Linked DNA regions of Caenorhabditis elegans. The protein of the gene in region 1 interacts with the protein of each later gene in a pairwise test. Each region holds a gene or a part of one and is shown in the gene's direction. Other genes may lie near its edges. The genes, in order: rps-6, dnsn-1, klp-4 and add-1.

Region 1 (3,369 bases):
ATTTTTCGTGGGCTAAATGAATTTTTTGATGTTTTTTGTGCTGAAAAATCGGAAGTTTTGGGCTTTTTCATTGTGAAAACTGATTTTCTAAAATAAATTTAAAGTGTTAACGTTGAAAAATTCGGAATTTTTGGGCTGTTTAGGTGCAAAAACGGATTTTGAAGTTTTTTGTGCTGAAAGATCGGATTTTTTTGGCTTTTTAGGAGGAAAAATGGATTTTTGATGTTTTTTCCCCTGAAAAATCACAATTTAGGGGCTTTTTAGTGGGAAAAATGAATTTTATCGCAGAAATTGATGAGTTTCTGCCGAAAAATCGGAATTTTTCGGATTCTTAGGGCGAAATACGATTTTTTGATGTTTTTTCACCTGAAAATCGGAATTTTAGTGATTCTCGTGAGGAAAATAGGGTTCTGTTCAAGTTTTTGCGGAAAAAATGATTTCCCAATGGAAAATTAAAGTTTCTTCGATGAAAATTAGGATTTTCATTTTTTTTTTTAAGAAAAATAAATTTTTATGAGAAAACGAACGTTTTTGACTGAAAAATCAAAATTTTCAGAAATTCCAGAGAGAAAAATGGAATTTCTGAGGAAAATTGGCGTTTTTTTCACTGAAAATCGCAATTTATCGGACTTTTCATGGGAAATACGATTTTTACGAGAACTGTAACGTTTTTCAGTGGAAAATTCGATTTCTAGCAGGGTTTATCGATAAAATATCGGTTTTTAACCAATTTTTAGTCCATTTTCCTCGAAAAATACGCACTGAAAAGGCTGTGCCGGTATAGTCGGCCCGTCGCCTCCCTCCATAACGTCTTCCCGGTCGAAAAGGAGCTTCAGCGATTTTAGAACTCCATATAAAGATGGCTCAAAGTCCAGTGACACTTCATCATCACAGGAATAGCAGTAAAGCTCGAAAGAAATGCAATCAATGACGACTGGGTGGCTGGTTTCTTCAAAATGATGCAAAGCGTGGCCCGAGTCGTTTCTTCCGCACAGAATTCGTCCGCAAGTGAGGCACATCAGCGATTTATTGCAATTATCGCATTCGTCGCAGAAGGTTTTAATTATTTCCTGGTTTCTGGAAGAAAAACGAGTTTTTAAAGCTATTTTTAGCTTTTTTTAGCCATTTTCTAGCCAAATTTCTCAAAAAAACTCACTTCACCACCTTCCCACGATTCGAATTTCCCTCCAAGAACAAATTATTGTCCTCCATGTCCTGTTTCTTGCGGAACATCCCCTTGGGCACACGCTCCACACAATCTTCCGCCTTTATATGGGTGCAAAGCATCTGAAAAAATTCGAAAATCAGTCAATTTGAGTGTGAGAGCAAAGTTTTGGCACTTAAAACGCGGATAAAAAATCGATAATCAAGAAAAACAGCAAATTTTCGGCGGAAATCGAAGAAAAACCGAAAATCGAGTCGGAAAATCGGAAAAGTTTGGAAAAAAATAAAATCCATCGGACGAGATAGTGTGGGAAAGGTGGGGTGCAGCAGACGACGAGGCGGATGGGGGATGGGTCTCGCCACGAAGGGCGTGCGCCTTTAAACTGGAATTGTCGTTGGCCTAAAAAGTTTTCGCTCCTTTTTTCATTTTTCCCTCGAATTTTTGGGTGAATTTCTCATTTTTAGGCGAACTTTTCGGTTTTTTTTTCGAATTTTCAAAATTTTAAATGTTTTCCTGATAGTTTTCCTCCACATTTCGCAGGATATTTGCTTGGAAAATCAAATTTATTAGTTTTAGGCCCATGTTTTCGTTTTTCGCTTCAGTTTCTCCTTTTCTCACCCCGTTAACTCATTTCCAATGTTTTTCTTCTTGCAGGTAATAATATTTGAGCGATGAGACTTAACTTCGCCTACCCAGCCACCGGGCTCCAAAAGTCGTTCGAGGTCGATGAGGAGAAGAAGCTTCGCCTCTTCTTCGAGAAGCGCATGTCCCAGGAGGTCGCCATCGATGCTCTCGGTGACGAGTGGAAGGTTAGCGAGTCACCCAAAAACACAGAAACGAAGTGATGTTTCTGTGTCAAATCCTCATTGTTTCACGTGCTTTTTCTTCGCTGAAATGGCTGTGACTAGACATACATTGAGAGTCCCAGTTTTTGTTTTTGAACCGATTCTCGGCTCTTTCAAACGAGTTGCTTTTTTCCAGGGATATGTCGTCAGAATCGGAGGAGGAAACGACAAGCAGGGATTCCCAATGAAGCAAGGAATTCTCACCAACGGACGTGTTCGTCTTCTCTTGAAGAAGGGACAATCCTGCTACCGTGAGCGCAAGAACGGAGAGCGCAAGAGAAAGTCCGTCCGTGGATGCATCGTCGACGCCAACATGTCCGCTCTTTCCCTCGTCATCGTGAAGAAGGGAGATGGAGAGATCGAAGGACTCACCGACTCCGTTCTCCCACGCAAGCTCGGACCAAAGAGAGCCTCCAAGATCCGCAAGCTCTTCAACTTGACCAAGCACGACGATGTCACCAAATACGTCATCACCCACGACAAGACCTTCCCAGATGGTGAGTTTCTTCAATATTCTCTTTAAATTTAGTTTTTAACTGTCTAAATTTCCAGGAGTCACCAAGACCATCGCACCAAAGATCCAGCGTCTCATCACCCCAGCTCGTATCGCCAGAAAGAAGTACCTTCTCCGCCAGAAGCGCAACCAGAAGATCAAGATGCGCGATGACGCCGCTGCCTACCACAAGCTCCTCGCCAAGTACTCCAAGGAAGAGCACGACGCCAAGATCGCCCGCAGACGCTCTTCGGCTTCCCATCACTCCGAGTCCGAGGTCAAGAAGACCAGCAAGAAGTAAATACTGCTGCTCGTTATTGTTTCCTAATGAAATTGTTGTTAAACTTAAATCTTTTTTTTTTGTTGTTCACTCCATTCGTCTCACCAATTATATTTGCACCCATTTGTCGTTGTTAATTTTTTTGAATGCTTACTCCGAGTCCTGGCACGCCACTCAGGGTACTTGGTCGATCCGTTCTTCGCCTGCGGGGCGGATAGCAGGCTTCGCAGCTTTCAAAGCTTTTCGGTTCTTTGCTTGGCTGATAGTTGTATGACTCAACCGAAGGCGTCTCTCGTGTGACCTTTTTATAAAGAGTCGTTCCATCTAAACGGGAGTCGTCCATTTTTGTGTTAATTCTGCTAAGATAAAGCGCGCTCCTGAAATTATCTTCCAAAGTGCTGTGATTCTTTTTCAAGGATACGGTAGAAGTCTTGCTATGAGATATCTTCCGCCACAAATATAGGAATTCTCATGTTTTAATTGTTTCCCAGCAAGACATTGGCCAGTTTTCAACTGAAAATTCATTTTTCGATTAATTCCGGGTGTTGAATTCAAAAATCTGATAGAACTACTGTAAATTTAATTG
Region 2 (7,123 bases), on another chromosome or scaffold:
AAAAGGCCGCAAAAATTGATTTTGGAGACTACAAACTACAATTTTCGATTTAGCAGACCAATATTAAAAAATTCCTGTTTTCAGCTTAAAATTTCGATTTTTGATTCGTTTTTTTTTGGAATACAATGCTAATTCACTCAAAAATTTAAATTTAAATCAATTTTCCCCGAAAGTCCCGATTTTTTCAGGATTTTATATGAAAATACGCACTTTTGGCCAATTTTCCACTAAAAATCGCAAAACACTTGAATTTTTCTAATTTCTATTTGAAAAATGTTCATTTTCCCGCTGAAAAATTTAAAAAATTCATCAATTTTCCAATTTTCAATGCGAAAATTAAAAATTTTGGGTCTGCTAGACTACAAACTACACATTTTCATTTAGCAGACCAATATTTAAAAAAACCAAAGTGGTTTTGCCATCGAATATTTCCTATTTCTCACTGGGAGCAAGTGAAAATTTGAATACTTTTTGATTTTTTTTAAAGAATAAATACGATTTTGACCCAAATTTCCAGGTCCTAGTGCTAAATCATGTCAATTTTTCGATTTTCCAGCTCAAAATCCGTCTACTAACATCATTTCCTCCTCATAACCAAAGGAGAGCAACAAATCCGCCTCGTCCATCACCAAATAGCTGACCAATGTGCAATATTCTGGTCTCAAAGAGCACATTCTGAGCAATTTTCCGGGTGTTGTGACAACCACGTGGCTTCTGTCCTCCAGCCAAACCGAGTTCTCCTCTTCATTGATATCACACAGATTGATAGCCTGAAAATACCAAAATTTTAGATTTTTTCCACTAAAATCCGCATATTTTACCTGCAAAAACGGCAAGGCCTGCGAAAGCTTCACGAAAAGCTTATAAATCTGTGTGATGAGCTCTTTTGTGGGTGCAATGATCACAGCAGATGGTCCAACTGATCCATCATTCGTCTTGGATTCGGCGATCAGCTTCTGCACAAGAGGAATCAGAAAAGCGCCGGTTTTTCCGGATCCAGTACGAGCTCTTCCCATAATATTCTTGTTTTCCAGTGCCAGAGAGATCACAGACTCTTGGACTTGATTTGCCTTTTCCCAGCCGAGTTCTCCGATGCTCTGCAAGAAAATTCTAATATTTTAAGTCTAAATTTGCAAAAAAAAACCTTCAGAATACGCTCATCCAGACCAAAATCCGCGAATGTCTTGTGCTCCGGCTCGAAATCCATCTCATCGACTTGAGGACCAACTAGGCTTTCCATAAGCTTCTGGCGTTTTCTGAAAAATTATTATAACACATTTTTTTCTTTTTCTGCAACCCAAAATATCGACTTACTCTGCCTGACTCTTCTTCATTCGGTGTTTTCTCTTTCTGCCCATTTTCTCCTCATTTTTGTCGCGCAACTCCACGGAAACCTCGATTTTCTTGCCGGCTTTCTGTTTTTTAGGTGCTTCTTTCACTTTTGGTGGCTCTTCTTCGGCGAATTTCACCGATTTTCGCTTCTTTTTGGTGACTTCGTCGGGTGCCATGATGAATTACCTGGAAAAAAGAGTGAAATATCGATTTTTCGCTATAAAATTTCAAAAAGAAACATCGAAAATCAATCAAAAACTTTAGAATTACAAGAAAAAACAATAAAATTATATTTTTTCGCAAAAATGGAGCCAAAAACGCGCCAACGATCAAGAAATGCGCCAGCAGTCTCCCTTTGCGCGCAAGCATTCGCGCTCTATTGAAAAAGCGCGAGAAGCTAAGAATTTAATAAATTTTTTAATTTTCAGACATTTTCAGTGATTTTTACGTATTTTCCTCATTAAATCTGTAATTTTCAGCCTATTAAAATGTCCGACGAGCACTATAATCCTCGAAATCGGCTCAAAACGCAAATAAAACGTCGATCAAGCTGCCGAAACATTCTCAACGCTGTGCCTCCACCGCCACCTACCGATTTTGAAGGCTTGGAGGGATTTACGGATAGTTGTCCGGCTCCGACAGCGAATAATCCGTTTAAAGTAGAGAAATGAACTTATTTTTATTTTAAAAAGTCGATTTTCAGGTCTCTTCCCCGCAAAAGAAGCGACAAAAACCCCAGGTGACCTTCTCACAAGACGATCCGTTTGCAGCGAGTATTTCGAGGTTTGAATTGGAAATTTGAGCAATCTTCTCTAATAATTTTAAGTTTCAGAAGCCCCGATCCACTTAAAACGCCCACCAAAGGAGTGAGAAGCTCCCCGCGGAAAAGAAAAAGTCCACAGAAGTTTGAGAGATTCCAGAGCTTTGATCCAGTGAGAAAATATAAAATTCTCGAGGTTTTTTTTAAACAAAAATTGAATTCTGCAGGCTCTTCTTCAAGAATTCCATCCGGTCGACTTCTCCGCGCTCCTTGCCACGTCGTCATCGGCTCAAAAACCAGCAGAACCAGCCCAGGAGTCTGCCGAGGATCTTCCAACTGATCTTCGGATCGGAAGCAAGATGAGAATCGTGTCAAAAGTCTCGTTTCCATGGATGAATACGAGAAAATCGACGGGAAATGTGATTGTCAAGTTTCAGACGAACGATCGATTCGATGGAATGCAATATTTTAATAAAACGTTTCTTAATGGCTATGAGGTGGGTCGAAATCTACTATTTTTGACTTTTCTGTGTAGAAAAATGGCCTTCGCAGCAAAAATTTTGGAGAAAAACGGTTTTTTCAAGCAAATGTTGGCTTGGGTCTGCTAAATCGAAATTTGTAGTTTGTAGTCTAGCAGACCCAATCTCTTCAAAACCACTTTGGTCTGCTAAATCAAAATGTGTAGTTTGTAGTCTAGCAGACCAAAAATTTTCAATTTTCGCATGGAAAATTGGAAAATTGATGAATTTTTCAATTTTTCAGCGGGAAAATGAACATTTTTCAAATAGAAATCAGAAAAATTCAAGTGTTTTGCGATTTTTAGTGGAAAATTTTGCAATTTTTGTGTTTTAAGACAAAAGTGCGTATTTTCATACAAAATCCTGAAAAAATCGGAATTTTCAGGGAAAATTTATCTGAAATCGCAAATTTTGAGCTAAAATCCATAAAATTGTGTAAAAATCGTCGAAAAACGAAAAAAAAAATCATTTAGGTCTGCTAAATCAAAATTTGTAGTTTGTAGTCTTCAAAATATATTTTTGTGGCTTTTTCAGCAGTTTTCATAGTATTTTTCAGTTGAAATCAAGTTTTTAATAATTTTTTACTTCAAAATTGAAAGAAAAAACCATTTTCAATGATATTTTTCTGACAAATTTGTAGTTTGTAGCCTAGCAGACCCTTTTTTTTTCAAAAAATTCAAATTTCAGGACCCGACAGTGCCTCTCCCAGTGTCTCCAATGTCAATTCTTGAAGCTGCCTCGCTTTTCTACCAGTTTCCAGTAATTCCAGGGCTCAAAATGTATCCAAGAATCACCGCAGAGCAAGAGTACGGTGGAGCACACTTGCAACACCTAAAATTCGAATTTTTTTGCAGAAACGTGTCCCGTGTCTCGCTGGCTCCACTGGTGACGAGCACAATGTTGGAACAATGGCAAGAGTGCTACGCGGAGCTCTACAGCTCGTATAAAAAGGGACAACGTGGCAGTTTTTACGTGGCGACTGCTGTTTGCAACGTGCTTTTTACGAAAATGCCGTTGTCGGGTGGTGGTGATGATGTGGCGGCAGATGACACGTCACAATCTTGCTCGCAGGCTTTTCGAGGGCAGAAGCTTGTCGCTGTGATCACTCATACGACGTCGGCGATCCGAGAGCATTTGAGAAGCCAGGGTAGAATTTTTGAGCAATTTTCAGATTGATTTTATGCTATAAAATTGAAAATTGTGGGTAAAAAATACTTTTTTCAAGCCGTACAAGGTCTTAAAGCACAAAAAGTGCAAATTTTTCAGCTTAAAATCGCAAAAACTTGAATTTTTCTTATTTCTATTCAAAAAATGTTCATTTTCCCGCTGAAAAATTGAAAAATTCATCAATTTTCATTGCAAAAATAGTAAATTTTGGGTCTGCTAAACTACAAACTACAACTTTTGATTTAGCAGACCCAAATTAAAAATGCCTGTTTTCAGTTTAAAATTTAGATTTTTTGATTCGTTTTTTTGGAATACAATTTTAATTCACTCAAAAATTCGAAATTAGATCAATTTTCCCCCAGAAATTCCGATTTTTTTCAGGATTTTATCTGAAAATACGCACTTTTGCCTTAAAATACAAAAATTGCATTTTTTTTTCCACTAAAAATCGCAAAAAACATGAATTTTTCTAATTTCTATTCGAAACATTTTCATTTTCCCGCTGAAAAATTGAAAAATTCATCAAGTTTCCTTTTTTTTCATTGCGAAAATGGAAAATGTTGGGTCTGCTAGACTACAAACTACAACTTTTGATTTAGCAGACCCAAATTAAAAAATGCCTTTTTAGCTTAAAATTTAGATTTTTTGGTTAATTCACTCAAAAATTTCAAAATTGGCTCAATTTTCCTCGAAAATTCCGATTTTGCAGGATTTTATACGAAATTACGCACTTTTTCACTTAAAATCCTACTGTAAAATGATATTTTTGAGGAAAAAAACTTTTTTTTCAAATTATAGTGTGCGGCAAACGTGCTCCATTGCGAATTTCAGCTCAAAAACTGTTTTTTTTGTCGATTTAAAAGCTGAAATAGGCAAAAAAGCTGAAACTCTATTAAATATTCATTTTTAAACTGAAATTTCAATTTTTGCAGGCGTCGACTTCGAGGCTCCAAAGCCCACATCGTCTCTGAAGCGTGTCAGCAGTTCACCACAACTCCATCATGATCAGTCAACACTGGATTGCCTTTTGGCTTCAGAATCCAAGGAGAACTCTCAAATGGGACCAACAACATTCGGTGGAATCGAAAATTCGGAAAATTCCGATGAAAGCCCGCTGAAAAAAGATCAAGACAGTGATGAGAACGAGAGTCCAATGAAGCTGGCGAACCAATGGTTGAATGAGATTGGGGTCTCACCGCGAACAGTGAAAAATACTGTTTCGAGGTAAAAATTTGCCATTATCCAGGCAAAAAAGCTTTTTTATTGAACTTTCTGGAAAAAAAACCCAAAAAATCATAGTTTTTGACAGTTTTTTCGTGCAAACCCCGTTTTTTCACGAAAGGTTACTGTAGCTGCGCTCAAAACTACAGTAGCCCCAAATTTTTGTACTTTAAAATTTGAAATATTTTGTGGAATTTGATTTTTTGCCTTAAAATTGCAAATTTTACGCTAAAAAGTTCAAATCTACTACTATTTTAAAATTAAAATTTTCCGAAAAACGTCGAAATTTTGATTTTCAAGATTTTTTCCATTAAAAAAGTCAATAGGTTACTGTACATACAAAAGGTTACTGTAGCTGCGTGGCAATAGCCCGGCGCTACAGTAACCCGAACTGTGTAATGTGACTCCTCCTAGGATTACTGTAGCTCCGCGATCTGCGCAAAGCTACAGTAATCCTATTTTTCCCTCATTGAAAATTAATTTTCTGTGACTTATGTGCTTCTATCCAATTTTGATGGTATGAATATCGGTATTCTCGGCTGAAACATGCAATAAATACCGTATTCCAACCAACAATTCGGTGCAATAGAGCACATTTGTCACCGGGGATGCGGAAGCTATGCCCAAATTTTCAATTTTCTGGGAAAATTGTAGAAAATAGCAATTTTCACCGTTTTTTTCCAAAATTTTGAAGTTTTTGTTTAAAAAAACACCGAAAATTGCTCTGAAAATGCCGTATAACTCCCATAAGGATTACTGTAGCTTCCGTAGCCTCTAAAAATGAATTTCTGTGACTTATGTGCTTCTATCCAAATTGATGGTATGAATATCGGTATTCTCGGCTGAAACATGCAATAAATACCGTATTCCAACCAACAATTCGGTGCAATAGAGCACATTTGTCACCGGGGATGCGGAAACTATGCCCAAATTTCCAATTTTTCCAGAGAACTCTCTTCCCAAGTGACTGATCGTGCCGGTTTCCAGTGTCTTGTAGTCCATGGCTCCAAGATTCATGCTCTATTCAACGCGCTGATGGATTCGGACGTTGTACACGAGAAAACGGGTCCCTACACGAAAATCCCGCCCACTCTAATCGCCACGTCACCATTTTTGTATGGGCAGTTGCTCAGCTTGACGGTAGCCAATTTTTCTGAATTAGAAATTCAAATTACAAGTCAATTTTTCCAGAAATCATCGAATATATTCGCAAAAGCCGGAACCAAGTGCACGGAATACGAGCTGAAGCTGGAAAATGGTCCAGTGCTCCCGCATTGTGCAAAAATGGTAAAAGTTTGCATTGGGGCGCGTTTGCAGCTTTTTAATTTCTGTATTTTCCTTCAGATGACCCAGTTCATCCGCTCTACGAACATGTGCTCGACGGAGGAGAAGCCGGTAACAATGCAAGTCATGGATCGACATACGAGTCAAGGAATGTCTGATTGGACGGAAACTGCCACCAACTGGAATACTGTGACAATTGCTGAGAATTGTGTGAAATGGACTAAGAATTGAGATTTTGAAGAATTAATTGAACATCCTGTGAAAAAAATTTTTCTAAGATTTTGATACAAGTTATTTTTATATGAATATTAACATTTAAATTTTGAACACGTATGTACTAGCAGCAAAAAATGGAACATCAATGTTTTTTGTTCGTCTACAGGGATCCGTCGGTAATCTATCATTCCATATTACGGGAACACAATATTCTGAGAATGCGTACTGCGCAACATATTTGACGCGCAAAACATCTCGTAGCGAAAACTACAGTAATTCTTTACACTGGTGTCGAGCTACTCAAATCATTATTAAATAATTAATTAAAATATTGAAATAGAGCACAATAATGACGAAAAAGTCGAGATCACCGTAAATCGACACAAGCGCTACAGTAGTCATTTAAAGAATTACTGTATATTTCGCTACGAGATATTTTGCGCGTCAAATATGCTGCGCAGTACGCATTCTTTGAATTTTGTGGTCTATATTGAGTTTAGCCAGGTTTGGGCGCGTTTTAAGAAAAAAGCTTTGGTCCAAAAAATTTTGAATTTATTTTCCAACATGTTTTATATGCATTACAAAAATGTTGCACCAGCCGTTTTTGAGAAAAACGCTACCAAAC
Region 3 (8,025 bases), on another chromosome or scaffold:
AAAGTGTGTATTTTCATTGTTTAAACAATATCCAGCTATGATTTCTATAAAAAATGTTTGGCCCAAAGTTCAAAGTCTAAAATTTAAAAAATAGCATTCAAAAAATAGTCTTGCTGCTTTTTTTAGACTTGCACTCCTACGAACCAATTGAAAATTAGTTTTGCAAGACTAATAGAGGAAATATGGCAATTCTGTATTTAGACTTTTTACCATTTCAAAATGTTGAATAGATTTTGACAAAATCCCCATTTTCCCTACACTGTTTTTAATTAATATTAAAGTTTTAATGAAACCCGGTAGCTATTTTTGGAACGTTTAGATTAACATTTCTTATTGCATGTTTCAAAGAATTACTTTTCTAATAAACACAATCGTGTAAACATTATACATCCCGATTTGGCAGTTCTTTCACACGTCTATTTACCAAGGGATCCTTCTCTTTGTGGATCAGATGATTTGTGACATCTCGCGAATTCCAATAAGATGACGCACGGCTACAAAATTCTTGATTAACAAAAACGCACATCGTGTTGATTAAAGGATTTCCGAATCTAGATACCTCTCTCTCGCTCTTTTTCTTTTGCGTCAATTTTTTTGAGCTGTCAAATCGTTTGTCCTCAAAACCCGAGCTCAAAAAAGATCAGCTCAATTTGTTTAAGTAGTGCACTTTTTTGATAGGATTGTTTTCCCGTTTTCTCAAGTGTTGCTTCCCATTCTCCGGCTGAGCAATTTTTGAAATTTTTTAGTGAGTGAAGTTTAAAAATCAAGCATCTAGATTTTGATGACGAAATAAAACGAATTTTTTACAGCCAAAAAAAAACGAAGGGTTCACATTGCAGCTTCCGGTTCCAGCTCATCTTTTGCTCTTGTTCTTTCGTTTCTTTTTATGGTGGAATGAGTTGAGCCGAGTTCAGAAAGAAGCGCGGAAAAACGGGAGACGCGCGCATCAGCATAGTAGATGTTCATCAATTGCAAATGAGAATGTTAATGCTCGGCCGGGTTCACTGGCGCGGGGTGCACACGCCAATGTATCATTCTGAATGGTTTCGTATCGTGCCCTTTTTTGACTAGGAATGTGTGGGGGAGAAGGATATGGGGATAGAGAACGGCGCCAGAGATAGACGGCTACCACCAGGACGACAAAGGTTAGAGTCAGACAGATGGAGCACGTTCCGAATATCATTTTTCACCGGCTCATTGTCCATTACGTCATGTTCCTGCAATTCCAACAAGCTTTTGGGACTCATAAAAAGTTTTTGATCAGTGTTTGCGCAAGGTCACCTATCCAATTTGGGTTGTAAATTTCCAATTTTTCGGCTGCTGCGCGAGATGTATCTCATGGTTTTATTAGGAAAATCCATCGGTTACCTCATCTCCTGAAACTGACGTGAAGAGCCAAACTTCTAAGCTTCACTCTCAGTTTCGTCTTTCTACTTTTTCCCCCTCTCACTTCCCGTTTTTGTTTATTGTACAAGAATTAGATAGTTGGGAACAAAGTGTCTTTTGAAAAGTGTCCGCTACATACATATGTCATGTACAAGAGATTCGCCTCGTGCCCCCCGTTTTTGGGGGCCCCCAGAAACTACTAATCCCTTTCCAACAGAAGCTCTTTTGGCATTGATGTGCTCTCACACCACACAAAAGCAAAGCACCCAATGAAATTGCACTCTGTCTCACTTTGCCAGCAGGGAAAAAAATAACTTTTGAAAATCAAGTTTGATTTCTTACTTAAATTCGGTTTTTTTAAGTTTATAAAATTTGAGAAACTTCCAATTAAAATCTCCGCTTCCAGTACTTTCTCAATTCACTGACGTTTTTCGTTTACTTTTCGTTTACCTACCCATCCGATTATGTTCGCCTTTCACCTTTCCTTGTATCATTGCGAGTGAAAAGTTTTCCAAAACTGATTGCCTCATAAATTTTTTGATTATTCTCCCTCACTCCGTCTTCGTTATTGACAATAACTTTATCGATTACCTGCTTTTTATCAATTGAGCGTGTTTTTCAGATGTTCTAAGAAATCTTCAGACTTGGTTGGAAAATGACAGCTCCAGATGAAGAAAGCGCTGTCAAAGTTGCTATTCGTGTACGCCCGTTTAACAAAAGAGGTAATATAATTTATTATTAAAAATGGTCATTGTGATATCAAAATTTCAAAATATTTCAGAACTCGACTTGAAAACAAAGTCTGTGGTTCGAATTCAAAAGGAACAATGTGTGCTTCATCATCCAATTGAAGAGTAAGTAGATTAATGAGAAAGCAAAGAAAAATTACCTGATATCTATTTTATTGTAGGAAAAACTCGAAAACCTTCACATTCGATCACTCATTTTGCTCCACTGACCCGCATAGTTATGACTTCGCAAGTCAAGAAACAGTGTCCTATCACCTTGGATCCGGTGTAGTGGAGAACGCATTTTCGGGGTACAATGCATGCATTTTCGCTTATGGACAGACTGGATCCGGAAAGTCTTACACAATGATGGGAACCCCTGATCAGCCGGGAATCATTCCTCGTGTTTGTAATGATGTGAGTTTTTTTGTTCGTTTTTTTTTCCAAAAATGCACTCCTAGTGAAATTGAAAGCATACCTGTTTTTTTTTCAGATATTCACGAGAATTCAAGAAACTAGCAATTCTTCCCTGTCGTTCAAAGTTGAGGTGTCTTACATGGAAATTTACAACGAAAGAGTTCGAGACTTGCTTGACCCAAAAAAGTAAGCCATTCGTTTCTCTCAAAAGCAAAAACATAAAACAAACGTCTTTGAAGATCAAGCAAAGCATTGAAAGTGCGTGAGCATAAAATACTTGGACCCATGGTTGATGGATTGTCGATTCTTGCAGTCAACTCTTTTGAGGTTTGCCGATGCTTGAAAGAGTTTTTTTTCATCCACTTGTTTATTTTTTCCAGCAAATTTCAAACCTGCTAGAAGAGGGAAACAAGTCAAGAACTGTCGCTGCAACTAACATGAATGCCGAAAGCTCAAGATCACATGCAGTTTTTAGTTTGATTGTAACACAAACTTTGCATGATTTGGAAAATGGGTTTAGTGGCGAGAAAGTTGCCAAAATTTCGTTGGTTGACTTGGCTGGAAGTGAGAGAGCTGGGAAAACGGGAGCAGTTGGAAAACGGCTCGAGGAAGGTGGAAACATTAACAAGTAGGTGAAACTATGGAATTTTATATACATTTTCTTGCGAAGTGGCTTAAAAAATAAGTAAAAAATTGGAGGAATTTAGTTTCTATTTTTCTCCGAAATGATCTTGAAAAAAAAATCGATTTTAAATTTTCAGCTGATGTTTTTTGTTAAAAAGTATGTTATTGATAATCTCAATTTCATATTGATTTTTCAAATTGAAGAAAAAACTTGAAGTCACTACCAACTTTCAACTTAACATTTAACAGGTATATGTATTTATTAATCAAAAGCTTGATTTCAGATCACTAACTACACTTGGTATGGTAATTTCTGCTTTAGCGGAAAGAAATTCCAAAAAAGACAAGTTCATCCCATATCGAGACTCTGTTTTAACCTGGCTGCTCAAGGACTCACTTGGAGGAAATTCAAGGACAGTTATGATTGCGACCCTTTCTCCAGCTGCCGATAACTATGAAGAAACCCTCTCCACACTGAGATATGCAGATCGTGCGAAGAAGATTGTCAACCACGCAATTATCAACGAGGATCCGAATGCAAGAGTTATTCGGGAACTTCGCGAAGAAGTGGAGACTTTACGAATGCAGATTACACAAACTAAAAAAGAGCACGCTGAAACTGAAGAGCTTCGTGAAAGGCTTGCAGAGAGTGAACGTCTTGTAGCTCAAATGAACAAGTCTTGGGAGGAACGTCTTAAAGAAACTGACACGTTGAATAAAGAACGACAGAAGGATCTGACGGAAATCGGAATTTCTATAGAGTCCAGTGGAATTAAAGTTGAGAAGGATAGGTTTTATCTGGTGAATATGAATGCCGATCCATCATTGAATGAGTTGCTAGTCTATTATATTAATGTGAGTTGAACATTGCGTTTTTTGTTTCAATAAAATTATATTTTCTAGGGATCAGCAATTATTGGAAACTCGGAGGAGCTAGAGACAAGTAGAGACTCTGGACTATCAATGACATGCAGTGATTCTTCGAGAAGAGATGATGACAAAGGTATTGTATTTTTTTTCAAATTTTTTGATCTACCATTTTTTTTCTCTTTTCAGAACGAACTAGTATTGTCCTCCGAGGTCTAGGAATCATGAGACGGCACGCAAAAATGACTGTTGAAGAGTATGGCGGGCGTCTACGCCTGTTTGTAGCCCCAATGTCTTCGGAATGCAGAATCTGTGTTAATGGAAAGCAGATAACTGAAAGGACGCTTCTTAGAAATGGGAATCGGCTGCTTGTGGGCATGAATCACTTCTTCAAAGTTAACTGCCCGAAAGTGATGGACATGGAACAATCCATTATGGAGGACAGCACCATGTTCGACTACAATGACGCTTGGCATGAGGTTAACGATGCGAACCCCATCAGTTCCGCCGTTGACCAATACATGGAGAGTGTTACACTCAAGCACCAGGTTTGCGAGATTTCTTTTTTCGTTGCAAAAATCTAATTCCTACGTAATTAAATTTTTATCGGTTTTTTTTCAGGAAGACAAAAAGGCAGCTCTTGAGCAACAATACGAAGCATTTGAGAAATACATTCAGTCATTGACTGCCGGCGGGTTTACCCCATCTACGCCAATGACTCCTGGTTTTTGTCTGCCTACTCCAATCACTACACCTACCGGACTACCCCCATTCCCTTTCCCAGCAAACCCAAAACAATCTGTGAAAAGCAAATTCTTCTATTGGGCACAGAGAAAGTGAGTTTTTAAATAAATGTCAAAATTTTGAATTTTCAAAAATATGAATAATTCCAGAGAAGAAATGTTCGCGGAGTCATTGAAAAGGCTGAAAGCAGATGTTATTCATGCAAATGCTCTTGTACGGGAAGCAAATATGATTTCCAAGGAGCTCAATAAAAAACCAAAGCGTCAAACCACATATGATGTGACACTGCAAATTCCAGCTTCAAACTTGAGACCGATTAAAATCAAAGCTGGGCAATTTGTTTGTGAGCCAGTGATAGTCGTTCGTAGAGAAGGAATGAGTGGAAGTCAATTCTGGACTGTTTCTCAGCTTGAGAGCCGTCTTGTTGACATGAGAGATACTTATAATGATATGCTAAATGGATTCACAAGGTTCGAGTTTATTCATTGATCGTTACGAATTCAATTTACATTTTTTCAAGAACCAGCGAGTCTTTGAACGGCACACCTCATGCATCACCAATGAAGATAGCCGGAATTCCAATGAATGAGTGCTCATCTCTAGTCATTGACCCATTCTTCGAAAGCCAAGAGCACCATAATTTAGTTGGTGTTGCAAATGTGTTTTTAGAAGTGTTGTTCCATGATCTCCGTCTCGATTATCAAGTAAATCAAATCGCGGGAAGATGTTGATTTTTTAATGTTCTCTATTTCAGGTCCCAATTATTTCGCAGCAAGGGGAAGTTGCTGGGCGTCTTCATGTGCAAATTTTTCGCGTGGTAACTCAGGAAGAGATGGATGAAACTTCCAATAATGGACCAGAGACACTTCTTGGCAAAACGATCACTTGTCGGGTACGAATCAAGCGCGCATCTGGTCTTCCGGAAAAACTATCAAACTTTGTGTTTTGTCAATATTCATTTTTCAACATTTCTGAACTACTTGTGGTTGCCCCAGCAAACGAAGCTGCTAATCATTCATCTTGTCCAACTACTGTGATTTTCGAACATCAAAGAGTGAGTTTGCATAACCTAATAACCATTGATCATTAAAGCAAATTGCAGGATTTCAATGTGATGGTCACGGAAGAATTTATGGAGTATGTTAGAGATGATGCGTTGTCTATTGAAGTATGGGGACACAGAATATGCGGACATCCTGAAGAGCGAATTTTGGACACTGATGAAAAATCCAAGTCTTTGCAAAACCGATGGATGGAAGTTACCAGGCGTTTAGAAACGTGGTCAGAGGTGCGAGAATTGAATGATAATGGAGATTGGACGAGTGTGGAAGTCCGACATGCAGATGACGTATCGACTGGCGGTATATACCAATTAAAGCAAGGTCAGCAGAGAAGATTGGTTGTGGGTGTGAATGTTGCTGCGCCTGATGGGTTGCCTATCAGCATTGATTGTATTACTTCTGTTAGCATTGGGGCGATTATGGCTGTAAAATCAACGAACAACTTGAAATCGATCGACAGCTACCAGGAAGAAGACTTGGATAAGATTAGAAAACAATGGTCACATGCATTAAAGTCACGACAGTATTATCTTCAACATCAACTTGACTCTCTTTCTGCCAAATCAGGAAAATCCGAGGCTGAGCTGGACCGTGAGCATTCTCTAATGGGACAATGGGTAGCATTGACTGAGGAAAGAACAGCCGTCGAATGTCCAACACCAAATTCGTGTATACCAGGAGCACCATGTGATTGGTATGTGACGCGATTGAGCTTAAACTGAATATATCTTGATAATTTGCAGGATTGCCCCTGAAGGAGTGGAACGACATATCCCAGTATTATTCTTAGACTTAAACTCCGACGATATGACCGGTGAAATGACAAGTGATGAGAATGTGCCGCGTGTTGCTGGCTTACACTCCATGCTTCCACTTGAGCCAGAGGGCAACTTGCTGATGGTTCCAATTCAGAAGTATGATGACAAAGATCATGTGGCAACATGTTCCTGGGATTCATCAGTTCATGATTGTCCGGCACTCAATGTTCCTACTAACAGCAATGATCGTGTGTACGCAATTGTCAAGGTATTAGTACCTAAAATAATATTCAAAAATAAAATAAAATATTTTCAGATTATGGTGAGACTATCACACCCATGTCCAATGCACATTGTGCTGAGAAAGAGAATATGCTTACAAATTTACAAAAAACCAAGCCTAACAGAAAAGTTTTTCAAGAAGATGCTGGGCACCGAGACTATTCATAGAACTTCTTTATACTATGATGTAGTTGCTCATATTCCGAAGGTAAAAAATGTAACCAAACAATTTTCTGAAACATATTTTTCCAGTCTTCGCAAGATATGGAAGACCGGTCTTCACTGGCAATGATGGCTGCGAAGGATACATCTCACGACGAGCAGGGCGGTGGCTCATCTCGAAGCTCCACTTCATCCACGGAATCACAACACCAGCAGCAGACCCTTAATTACATTGAAGCCTACACAAAAAGTATTCAGGCGGTATGTCCAGTCAACGGTTCTTCGAAAAATATAATATTTCAGGTCGAGTCAATGTTGAAACTGGATAGACTTCGCCAAGAAGTAGCTATTACCAATATGCTTACTAAGAAGGAAAGGCTGCAACGTATTCAAAATTTCGGACTACCAATGCATTCTTTGAGGATGAACAGAGCAGTCAGTTTGCCAAATGCAATTTCTAATGCTGGACAGGTAAGTTGGAAGTTTTAAATATTGCTATAGTTGATTTAAGAGCATCTTGAAAAAATTTCATTTTTTTTTTCAGATTAATGGAGTAGAAAAACGATCCGACACGCCAATGAGTATATCCTCCTCCAATTCAATGGGTATGTTCTTTTTTTTATTGATTTCTTTTTTTTTTTGAATTATTGACTCGCCGCTGGTTTTTGAATCGCCCGGAAACGCGTCGCTTCAACTTGGTTCTTTCTACTCACCTTTACAGATCATTTAACCCAGAAATGTGTTTTCATGAAAAAAAATACATACAACTAATGCTTCTCACTTCTAATTTTTCTTCGCTATCTATCCCCAAAAAGTGATATGAATTGCACCTTTGATTGCAGTTGGGAATCAAACGATCTCGATGAAAAATGCACTTTCTGCACTGCGGATTGTTTTTAAAAAGCATGCAGAGCTTCTCGAAATTCTGTTTCTTTTCAACAACTTGCTTTCTAGAGTGAGAAAATGTGAAACTAAGCATTATTCCAAAAACTATTC
Region 4 (7,633 bases), on another chromosome or scaffold:
TACATGTTTTGTTTTCCTGTTTTCTCCACTTGTTCTTTTTATCAGATCTATTTAATCAAAAAGGTTAAAACAAATAGTTTGTTTTACTATCGTCACCATAGGTGTGTGTGCGTGTGTGTTTGATATAAGATTTAATCGCAATTCGGCATGTTTCTTCTATTGTTGCCGCATTGGTTAAACACCAGTTTGGGGTTTTTTTGGAAGAGTATTTCAAGTTTCTGAAAGTTAAAGCATTTCAAATTTCAGACTAAGAATTTTACAGTAAGTGGTATTATAAATAATTGCATTGACCGCAAATTATTGAAAAAGCTTAGAATTTTTAAATAGAAATATTGTTTCAGCATTTCGTAGTAGTGCTGCAATATTATCTTATCGGAATAATTAATCTGAAAAGTTCAAACCGATTTTTAAATTTTGACAAATTTATTTTGAGTTATAAAACTCTGTTTGCGGAAAAATGGTTACTTTCCCAAAAAGTAATGAAATCTCACAAAACTAATTGGCCTAGCTCAATTCGAAAATTTCCACTTCCATTTTGCTTCACCGTTCTTTTTCATTTGAGCCACCCTACTTGTGCACCACTCGGACAAGTGCATTCTATTTATTCCATTTTCTTTTCATTGTGATTAACCATCCTGAATAAAATGTCTTGGGTTTTCTGCTCGGCGCCTCTTTCTATCTTTCTCCAAAATAGAGTACATGTAGACTTGAGTTTCTTTTCGGTCTTCCTTTTCTTCCCTCATTCCTTAAATTAGATTTGACATAAGAAGAACTTTATCGCAACAGGCGGATACCTTAAGGTTCTCATTCTTGTTTGCCGTTTATCGCTTCCATCGCAGACAAAAGTAGTGTGTTGGAGAATTTGACTGACGCAAAAACCACAAACATTTTAGGGTCAAATTCACATTTCCAATTAATATTTTTCAATATTACCGTTTGCCATGCTTCATAGGTAATTAGATGTATACACTTTCTCATGGCAAGTGTGCCACCCGTAGAGCAAATGTTATATAACGCAGGAGGTATGCAATAACCAAATTTTGTATACAAATCAGATGGCTCGCCATCGAATAGTCTCACGCTGAATGAACTATTTTTCGATCAATTCATGCTTTTTAGTACAGCTTTGTGTAAGCTGTGTGCTAGTAGAAATGTCAAATTATTTTCATGAAATTGTATACATCCGATTTAGCATATCTTAAAAAATCCTTATTTGTAAATACAGTTTCCGATAACTTGTGAACCCTTTTTTACTTAATTTGATATTTCAATCTTTAGTAAGTTCAACTGTTAACACCTTTATAACAGTTTTTCATCTTGAAAAAATGTCTAAAAATTTGACAAACAGAAATTTAACGTTAAAAGACCAATAATGAAACAGGAAAACAAGACAATATCAAAAGTAGGCCATCCATTTGCGCGGGAATTTAAACATAATTCAGAAAATCATCGCACATTTAGAATAATTTTATTATTTTTATTTTTAAATTCATATTTGTACACTACATCCCATTTTCATATTTGCAAAGTAATGTTTACTTTTCTAAACTTTGTGATTTTTTCTTGAATTTCAATATTTCAATCTCATTTTCAATTTTCTTAAACTTCAATAAAGTTTCAGATGATTGGAAGAAAAGAGAAGGAACGGGAACGTCCATACTATCGAGACCCAGATGACCCTGAATATATCAAAGATTTGCAAAGACCGGCAGTAATCAAAGTAAGTGCTGCTCCAAGTTTTTCCGTAAAAAAAACTAGAGCACATCAAGTTTTCCCTCCTCAGCTCTCTTTTTTCTCTTTTTCCAAGAACTTCAATTAATGAAACCTGCCATTATTAGCGCAGTGTCATTTTTTGAAAAGACTTGGGAAATTGAATGGAAAATGCAAGAGAAGAAGAGAAAGGAGTGCTCGCTCTTTAATCAGCTTAAAAGATGGATGAGAAATGCTCTATTTTAGGAGGATTTGTCAGAGATGGAGAGACGGAAAAGAGTGCAACAGATACTTGAATCAAAATCATTCTGCCACGAGCTAGAAGAAGTTATTCGTCAGGTTTGTAATTTGTCTTTTTTCTCGTTATTTTGTTTCAATAAATGTAATTTTGTACAAAACATTTTACATCTAGGAGTGTGATACAGCACGTACGGATCCGGATCACTTGCAAGTACTCCAGAAACTTTCGGACCTCACAGTTCCACAAGGAAACATGTCGTTTGGCAACCTTCACACATATGGTTTGTATTATATTTTGGAATAATGTATTCGAAAAACGGATAACTTGGTTTTTTTTCCTTATTTTGACAAAAGAAACTCGATTTATGCTTATTCACACGAGGAGTTACAACATGTTATAATGCAGAAAACTTTCCTATACGAATTTTAGCTATGCTGAAACCTTGTGACACAAAAGTAGATATACTTTTTTTGTTTTTCTAGTAAAGTATTATAATATCAAAAATCTAAGATTCCCATGCATAAACAAAATTGCAATATTTTTACAAACTTGAACTTCTGTAAGTTGACAATTTCCGATAAATCATGTAATCTATGTTTCAGGTGGAAACACCATTGCAATTGCTGATCTTCGTGGAAACGAGAAGTATTCAAAAGCGGAACGTATCCAGAGAAACAAATTGGCATGCTTGTTTCGACTAGCTGACCTGTTCCAGTGGTCACAAGGGATTCATAACGAAATCTCGGTAGGGTGCTTGAAGTATTGACTTTTTAAAATTACCACAAAAATTTAAAACTTGAACCTGTGGTTTAAAGTAAAATTTTGCAATCAACCAAATTTATTTTACAATATAGCAAATACAACGCGTGTAGAAATTGTATGAATTTCAACTTTATTAAAATACGAAACTTCTGAAACAGCTGCCAAAATGTAAGGATTAATCAGCTTTAAATTGGGATTTTTTTTGTTCAGTGTTGTGTTCCGGTTACACACCACTTTATTTTCCGACGTGAGTTAACTAGCAGGTCCATTAACGACGTGTTTAAAAAAATGTATTAAAATTATATTTCTATGAAACTTCTACAAAAGTAAAAACACCATATTTACCTTTCTAGAAGAATTTTAACAAAATTGATTTAGTATCGAACCAACGATGAGGATAACACTTTTCTGATGAATCCATTTGGTCTTCTCTACCATGAAATCACTGCTGCGACCATCGTGAAGATAGATGAAAATGGAAAAATTCTGGATTGCGGGACACTGAAAGCTGGAGTCAACCAGGTACCTTTAAAATCAAAAACGACTTATTTTTGCACTCATCAAGTTAAGCCTGCGTTTCTTCTTCATTCTGCAATTTACAAAGCTCACCCAATGGTCAGATGCATTCTTCATATGCACACGGCAATTGTGGCGGCTGTGGCTAGTATGAAATGTGGTTTATTGCCTCTATGTAAGGAAGCAATGGTGCTTGGGCCAGTTGGATATCACGATTATCAGGTTAGCAAAAATATTGAATTTGAAGAAAAACAATCACTTGTGTGGTTATTTTCATAATCTGAAAAATTTAAGTGTGAACGAGAGAAAATTGAAAATCTGAAGGTTAAAGAAACTAGAAGCAAAATCGGCAACCGTTTTTTAAAATTATTTTTTGATGATTTTTTTCCAGTCAAAGTTTTGGTACTTTGCCAAAATTTGAAAAAGTTTATCATGTAAATCGGTAGTTTTAGTACTTAAAGTAGATATAGAAAAGTTCATCGTCGACCTTCGAACGGTTTAAATTTTCATTAACCTTTCACATGACTTTAACTATAAAATCAAAAAAATTGTTGAATTTTCTTTTCAGGACATTGGTGATGATGATATTCAATTTGACGAAATTATTGCAAATCTTGGAGACAAAAACGTGCGTTAGCTTTACTTTGAACTGCTTTTCTATCCGCTTTTCTATGCTTCGTTTCAGGTCCTTTTCCTCCGCAATCAAGGATTCCTTGTTGTCGGTGACACTATCGAGCATGCCACTTTTCTAGCCAACAACACTGTGATAGCATGCGAAACTCAGGTTTTTGAAGTTTCTCATATTTAAAAATTACACGCTGCCCTGCCGCCAGTAGTTCAATTCTATCGCCAAATGCTTATTTTTTATGAAATGACGATGGGATTAAAACATTTAAGGTTCTGCTGATCAGAGGAGAAGGATGTTTTGTTGTTGGAAATTCCGTTGAAGAGACATCTATAATTATGCGCAACTTAGTCACTGCTTGTGACCATCAGGTTTAGAAAAGTTATAATAAATGAGAAATATTATTTCATATCAAATACAAAATACATAATCAAAGTTTCCAAAAACAAAATATTTTTGTAAGGTACGTGCCGCAAGGGCTGGACTTGACAACCTCATCATTCCGGAAGAGAAAGCAATACAAAGAGCGTTCAGAAATTCTCGAAATAGTAAGATTCTGCAATATATATTGAAATTTAAAATACATCTATAATGCTTTTGTAGCGAATTCCCTGAAACGAAATGGAACAGTTGATTGGAGAGTCGGAGAATTAGAATGGGAGTCTTGGATGAGAGTGTTGGATCATGCGGTGAGCAGAATTTTTTCGCCCTGCTCACAGTTGTTTCACTAAAAATTGCTACTAATTATAGAATTTTCAAACCGGGCACGTCTATCGTCAACCACAACTGCGGCCCAAATCTGCAATGTCTACGTCAATGGTGAACAACAATGATGTTGCTGTTCCGCCAACTACATCAGCTTATGGACAAATTGATGAAACAAACTTGGAAAGTGTATCTGCACATCGTCTGGCTTTACTGCGCAAGGAGCAGGAGCGGGTTCGTTGGATGAACAGTCCAAATGCATATCAGAAGGTTGAATTTTTGGAGTATGGAGCAGATAACCCAAAGAAGATAACTAAAGTAAGAACTGTTTTCAACTTTTGCAGTACGAAAATAAAATTTGTACATGAACTTCTGATGGTTTGTGTCATTATGTTTACACAGTTATTTTCATATAAATGTACAAAAAAATTTGAAGAAACATTAAATTAAAAACTATAAACAGAGATTTGAAAACCCAAATAGCTATGATATGGGTGGGCCCTACTAGTGAATTTTTGTTTTGGATAATTTCTATGTCACTAATTTTTGGATTGTTGTCATTATGCACATTATGAATACATGTTATGCTAACGCAATAAAAAAATGTATTTTTCAATATTGGAGTAGTGTCAGAAAATGTTCAAAATTGCTCCAATACCAACTATCGATTCAGGCTGTGCCTAATTGTGTTTTGAAAATTTTGATCCGCAATAAAAATATGTATTAAAGTTTTTTGAGAAGTCTCATTATAAAATTCGGTCGCATTTGGTTATTGAGTTCAAATTAAACATCTATGATAAATCATTGGAGAAAAAATTAATTTTAAAGTGTTTTAAATTTACACAAGTTCAAATCATTTCAGTGGGTTCATGACGTCAACGTTCCATCCGCGAGTGGAACCCCTGTCAAAATCAGCAGTGTTCATCAATTCAGTCCTGCGTCTTCAAATCCTAAAGAATTTAAAGAAAAACAAAAAGCTATCAAAGAAAACAACAGACTGGGAACTCTTTCTGCTGGACCACAAAGCCAGATTTTGGACAGTGTGACATATGAAGACATTGCACTATTGATTAAAGTGAAATATCCCGTCTTGAAAATTCATTTATTATTTTGTAATCTTTCAGCCTGATAATGACGGAACAGTCGGACAGAGCTCGACCGCTGACCGAGCAATACTTATCGGAACTGCCAGCAAGGGAATCATTGATAGGCAATTTCAGCATCATGCTCAGGTGTACCACCAAATCTATGCGCCGAATCCATTCTCTGTAGAAACTGATGCAGACATCAAGAAATATGTAGACATGGTGAAGGCCAAGAACTCGCAAAGCGCTCCTGTCTCAGCGAGAAGTGGTTACTCTCAATACGATGAGGTTGAAGCTGGTAAGGTAGCTGAAACAAAAAAACAGCAATTTTTAAAGTCGTTTTTGAAAACGAAAACTGAAATTCCTTTATTTAAAACGTAATAAAATAAAATAAACACTGCAAAAAATCCATGTTGTGTTGCGAGTTTTTAACTGAAAATCTGGGGTTCAAAACACTTGTGGGATGCCACTTGTTTTGAGTATGTTCTTTTTGGCTCCACTTACAAAATATATTTTTGAAAATATATTGCTGACAAAGGTCTAAAAATAGCTTCTCTAGTTGTAACCAGCCGATTTTCAAAAATTATTCCAGATACAGTTTCCTTAATGCAAGGAGTACGAGAACATAAACTTTCTCAAGCGGCTCTGAGCGCATCTGACGACGGCCTGAATGCCGGAATCTCCCCGAATAATGGTAATTTTTATGTGGTTGCTCCTTCACATTTTATCGATGCGCCTGTTTTCTATCGCTTTGTTTTCCAGTGTTTTAAATTATTTGAATGCCTATTTTCCATATTTCCAGTCCGAACTTCCGAAGAAAGCGTCAATACGTCGTACATGAGCCAGTCAGTTGTGTTCGATTGTAGGTTTATTTTCCTTATTCTTTCTGTGTAGCATGTGTGTGGTGGCTTCAAAGCTTTTTATAACTTTCACAGATTTTCTAACTCTTTGTGTACAGGCGATCACCCTTCTCCGATGTCAATTTCGACAGAGTACCCTGAAAAAGTTAAAATGACGCGATTTTCGTCGACTCAAGGAACAAGTGAAGGTATATTTGTAACTACGTGGTGTCTATTTGTGTTTTCACTTTTTTTTCGAGCGCATCAGCTAACTAATCAATAACTGAGTTGTAACATTTAGGCAATACAACGTCTCGATCGTGCACTACAGCGTCTGAAGAAGAAGTAAGAATTTTTGGAAGCAAATAGTTTTTCAAATGTTTCAAACTTAAAAAAGAATGAGGTTTCTTGCCATAAATAACAGAAAAACTATAAAGTAATATATTAAATTTTTAATAATGTTTTTTTTCAAATTAGAAGTTTTTTTTTGATATTTTAACAATTTCTGAAAAATTTTAAAAAAATTCAATGAAAAAATTAAACTTTTTACAGTTGTATTCTCTATATATAAACTGTTTTCTGTTATTTTGGGCAAAACCCCACTGACTCTACTCTACCTTCAAATAAGATTGAAATATTTGCTAACTTCTCTGCTTTTGGGACTAATCAAGCACTTATTTTACACCGTTTTTTATTTCAGAAGCCTACAAAAGATGAGAAAAAGAAGAAAAAGAAAGGATTTTTGTCATTTATGCGAAAAAAGGACAAATGAAAAATGAGAGTTTTGCTCTCACCTTGCTCTCACCAACACGTTCACATCACTTAACTCTAACACTTTTCGATAACTTTTTCTATGTTTTCTTTTCAATTTTCAGATCCGGATATACTACGCCCAATTTACCGTCAAGAAACATATGTCTAGTCTCTGGACTTTTCTTTCTTTCCCGTGAACTTTCAATTCCGGTTATGGATAATAGCAACACTCTGTGCTTTGTCTTTTGTTTTTCGAATATTTTTAAAATGTCATTTTGTACGCATATTTTTTTTATATTATGTATTTGCATTTCCATCAAGTTTTTTATACTTTCATCTATAAATAATTATATTATATTACAAAAAAAAGCCAGGACAGAGAAGAATTCGGCAAAGT

Evidence for each region.
Region 2: the proteins of rps-6 (region 1) and dnsn-1 interact in a two-hybrid assay, tested with the Caenorhabditis elegans proteins (one large-scale study listed by BioGRID).
Region 3: the proteins of rps-6 (region 1) and klp-4 interact in a two-hybrid assay, tested with the Caenorhabditis elegans proteins (one large-scale study listed by BioGRID).
Region 4: the proteins of rps-6 (region 1) and add-1 interact in a two-hybrid assay, tested with the Caenorhabditis elegans proteins (one large-scale study listed by BioGRID).

Annotation. Positions count from the first base shown.
Region 1 is NC_003279.8:13,950,342-13,953,710, forward strand, and holds rps-6 (Small ribosomal subunit protein eS6), read left to right. Parts: upstream 1-1,819; 5' UTR 1,820-1,836; coding exon 1,837-1,974; intron 1,975-2,146; coding exon 2,147-2,507; intron 2,508-2,562; coding exon 2,563-2,804; 3' UTR 2,805-2,853; downstream 2,854-3,369. Other genes in the region: usp-3 (Ubiquitin carboxyl-terminal hydrolase), read right to left, coding at 763-1,077, 1,157-1,287.
Region 2 is NC_003280.10:405,617-412,739, reverse strand, and holds dnsn-1 (Downstream Neighbor of SoN homolog), read left to right. Parts: upstream 1-1,807; 5' UTR 1,808-1,820; coding exon 1,821-1,991; intron 1,992-2,035; coding exon 2,036-2,115; intron 2,116-2,158; coding exon 2,159-2,264; intron 2,265-2,319; coding exon 2,320-2,589; intron 2,590-2,683; exon of another isoform or gene 2,684-2,735; intron 2,736-3,297; coding exon 3,298-3,416; intron 3,417-3,464; coding exon 3,465-3,757; intron 3,758-4,336; exon of another isoform or gene 4,337-4,386; intron 4,387-4,709; coding exon 4,710-5,001; intron 5,002-5,945; coding exon 5,946-6,138; intron 6,139-6,189; coding exon 6,190-6,285; intron 6,286-6,342; coding exon 6,343-6,513; 3' UTR 6,514-6,599; downstream 6,600-7,123. Other genes in the region: C24H12.4 (RNA helicase), read right to left, coding at 577-770, 822-1,097, 1,145-1,256, 1,315-1,508.
Region 3 is NC_003284.9:3,172,679-3,180,703, reverse strand, and holds the start of klp-4 (Kinesin motor domain-containing protein), read left to right. Parts: upstream 1-2,002; 5' UTR 2,003-2,041; coding exon 2,042-2,108; intron 2,109-2,167; coding exon 2,168-2,240; intron 2,241-2,296; coding exon 2,297-2,531; intron 2,532-2,607; coding exon 2,608-2,717; intron 2,718-2,770; coding exon 2,771-2,858; intron 2,859-2,911; coding exon 2,912-3,159; intron 3,160-3,439; coding exon 3,440-4,010; intron 4,011-4,058; coding exon 4,059-4,158; intron 4,159-4,211; coding exon 4,212-4,570; intron 4,571-4,643; coding exon 4,644-4,858; intron 4,859-4,915; coding exon 4,916-5,236; intron 5,237-5,286; coding exon 5,287-5,470; intron 5,471-5,520; coding exon 5,521-5,820; intron 5,821-5,868; coding exon 5,869-6,521; intron 6,522-6,570; coding exon 6,571-6,853; intron 6,854-6,901; coding exon 6,902-7,075; intron 7,076-7,119; coding exon 7,120-7,290; intron 7,291-7,332; coding exon 7,333-7,500; intron 7,501-7,573; coding exon 7,574-7,634; intron 7,635-8,025.
Region 4 is NC_003284.9:4,854,025-4,861,657, reverse strand, and holds add-1 (Adducin-related protein 1), read left to right. Parts: upstream 1-1,614; 5' UTR 1,615-1,621; coding exon 1,622-1,720; intron 1,721-1,956; coding exon 1,957-2,049; intron 2,050-2,122; coding exon 2,123-2,231; intron 2,232-2,553; coding exon 2,554-2,696; intron 2,697-2,815; exon of another isoform or gene 2,816-2,965; intron 2,966-3,091; coding exon 3,092-3,235; intron 3,236-3,283; coding exon 3,284-3,451; intron 3,452-3,797; coding exon 3,798-3,857; intron 3,858-3,914; coding exon 3,915-4,013; intron 4,014-4,317; coding exon 4,318-4,402; intron 4,403-4,457; coding exon 4,458-4,543; intron 4,544-4,604; coding exon 4,605-4,877; intron 4,878-5,421; coding exon 5,422-5,634; intron 5,635-5,683; coding exon 5,684-5,942; intron 5,943-6,236; coding exon 6,237-6,338; intron 6,339-6,446; coding exon 6,447-6,506; intron 6,507-6,602; coding exon 6,603-6,692; coding exon of another isoform or gene 6,693-6,766; intron 6,767-6,784; coding exon 6,785-6,828; intron 6,829-7,183; coding exon 7,184-7,255; and 4 more. UniProt on the Caenorhabditis elegans protein: Membrane-cytoskeleton-associated protein that promotes the assembly of the spectrin-actin network. Plays a role in time-dependent memmory loss and the retention of conditioned behavior over time.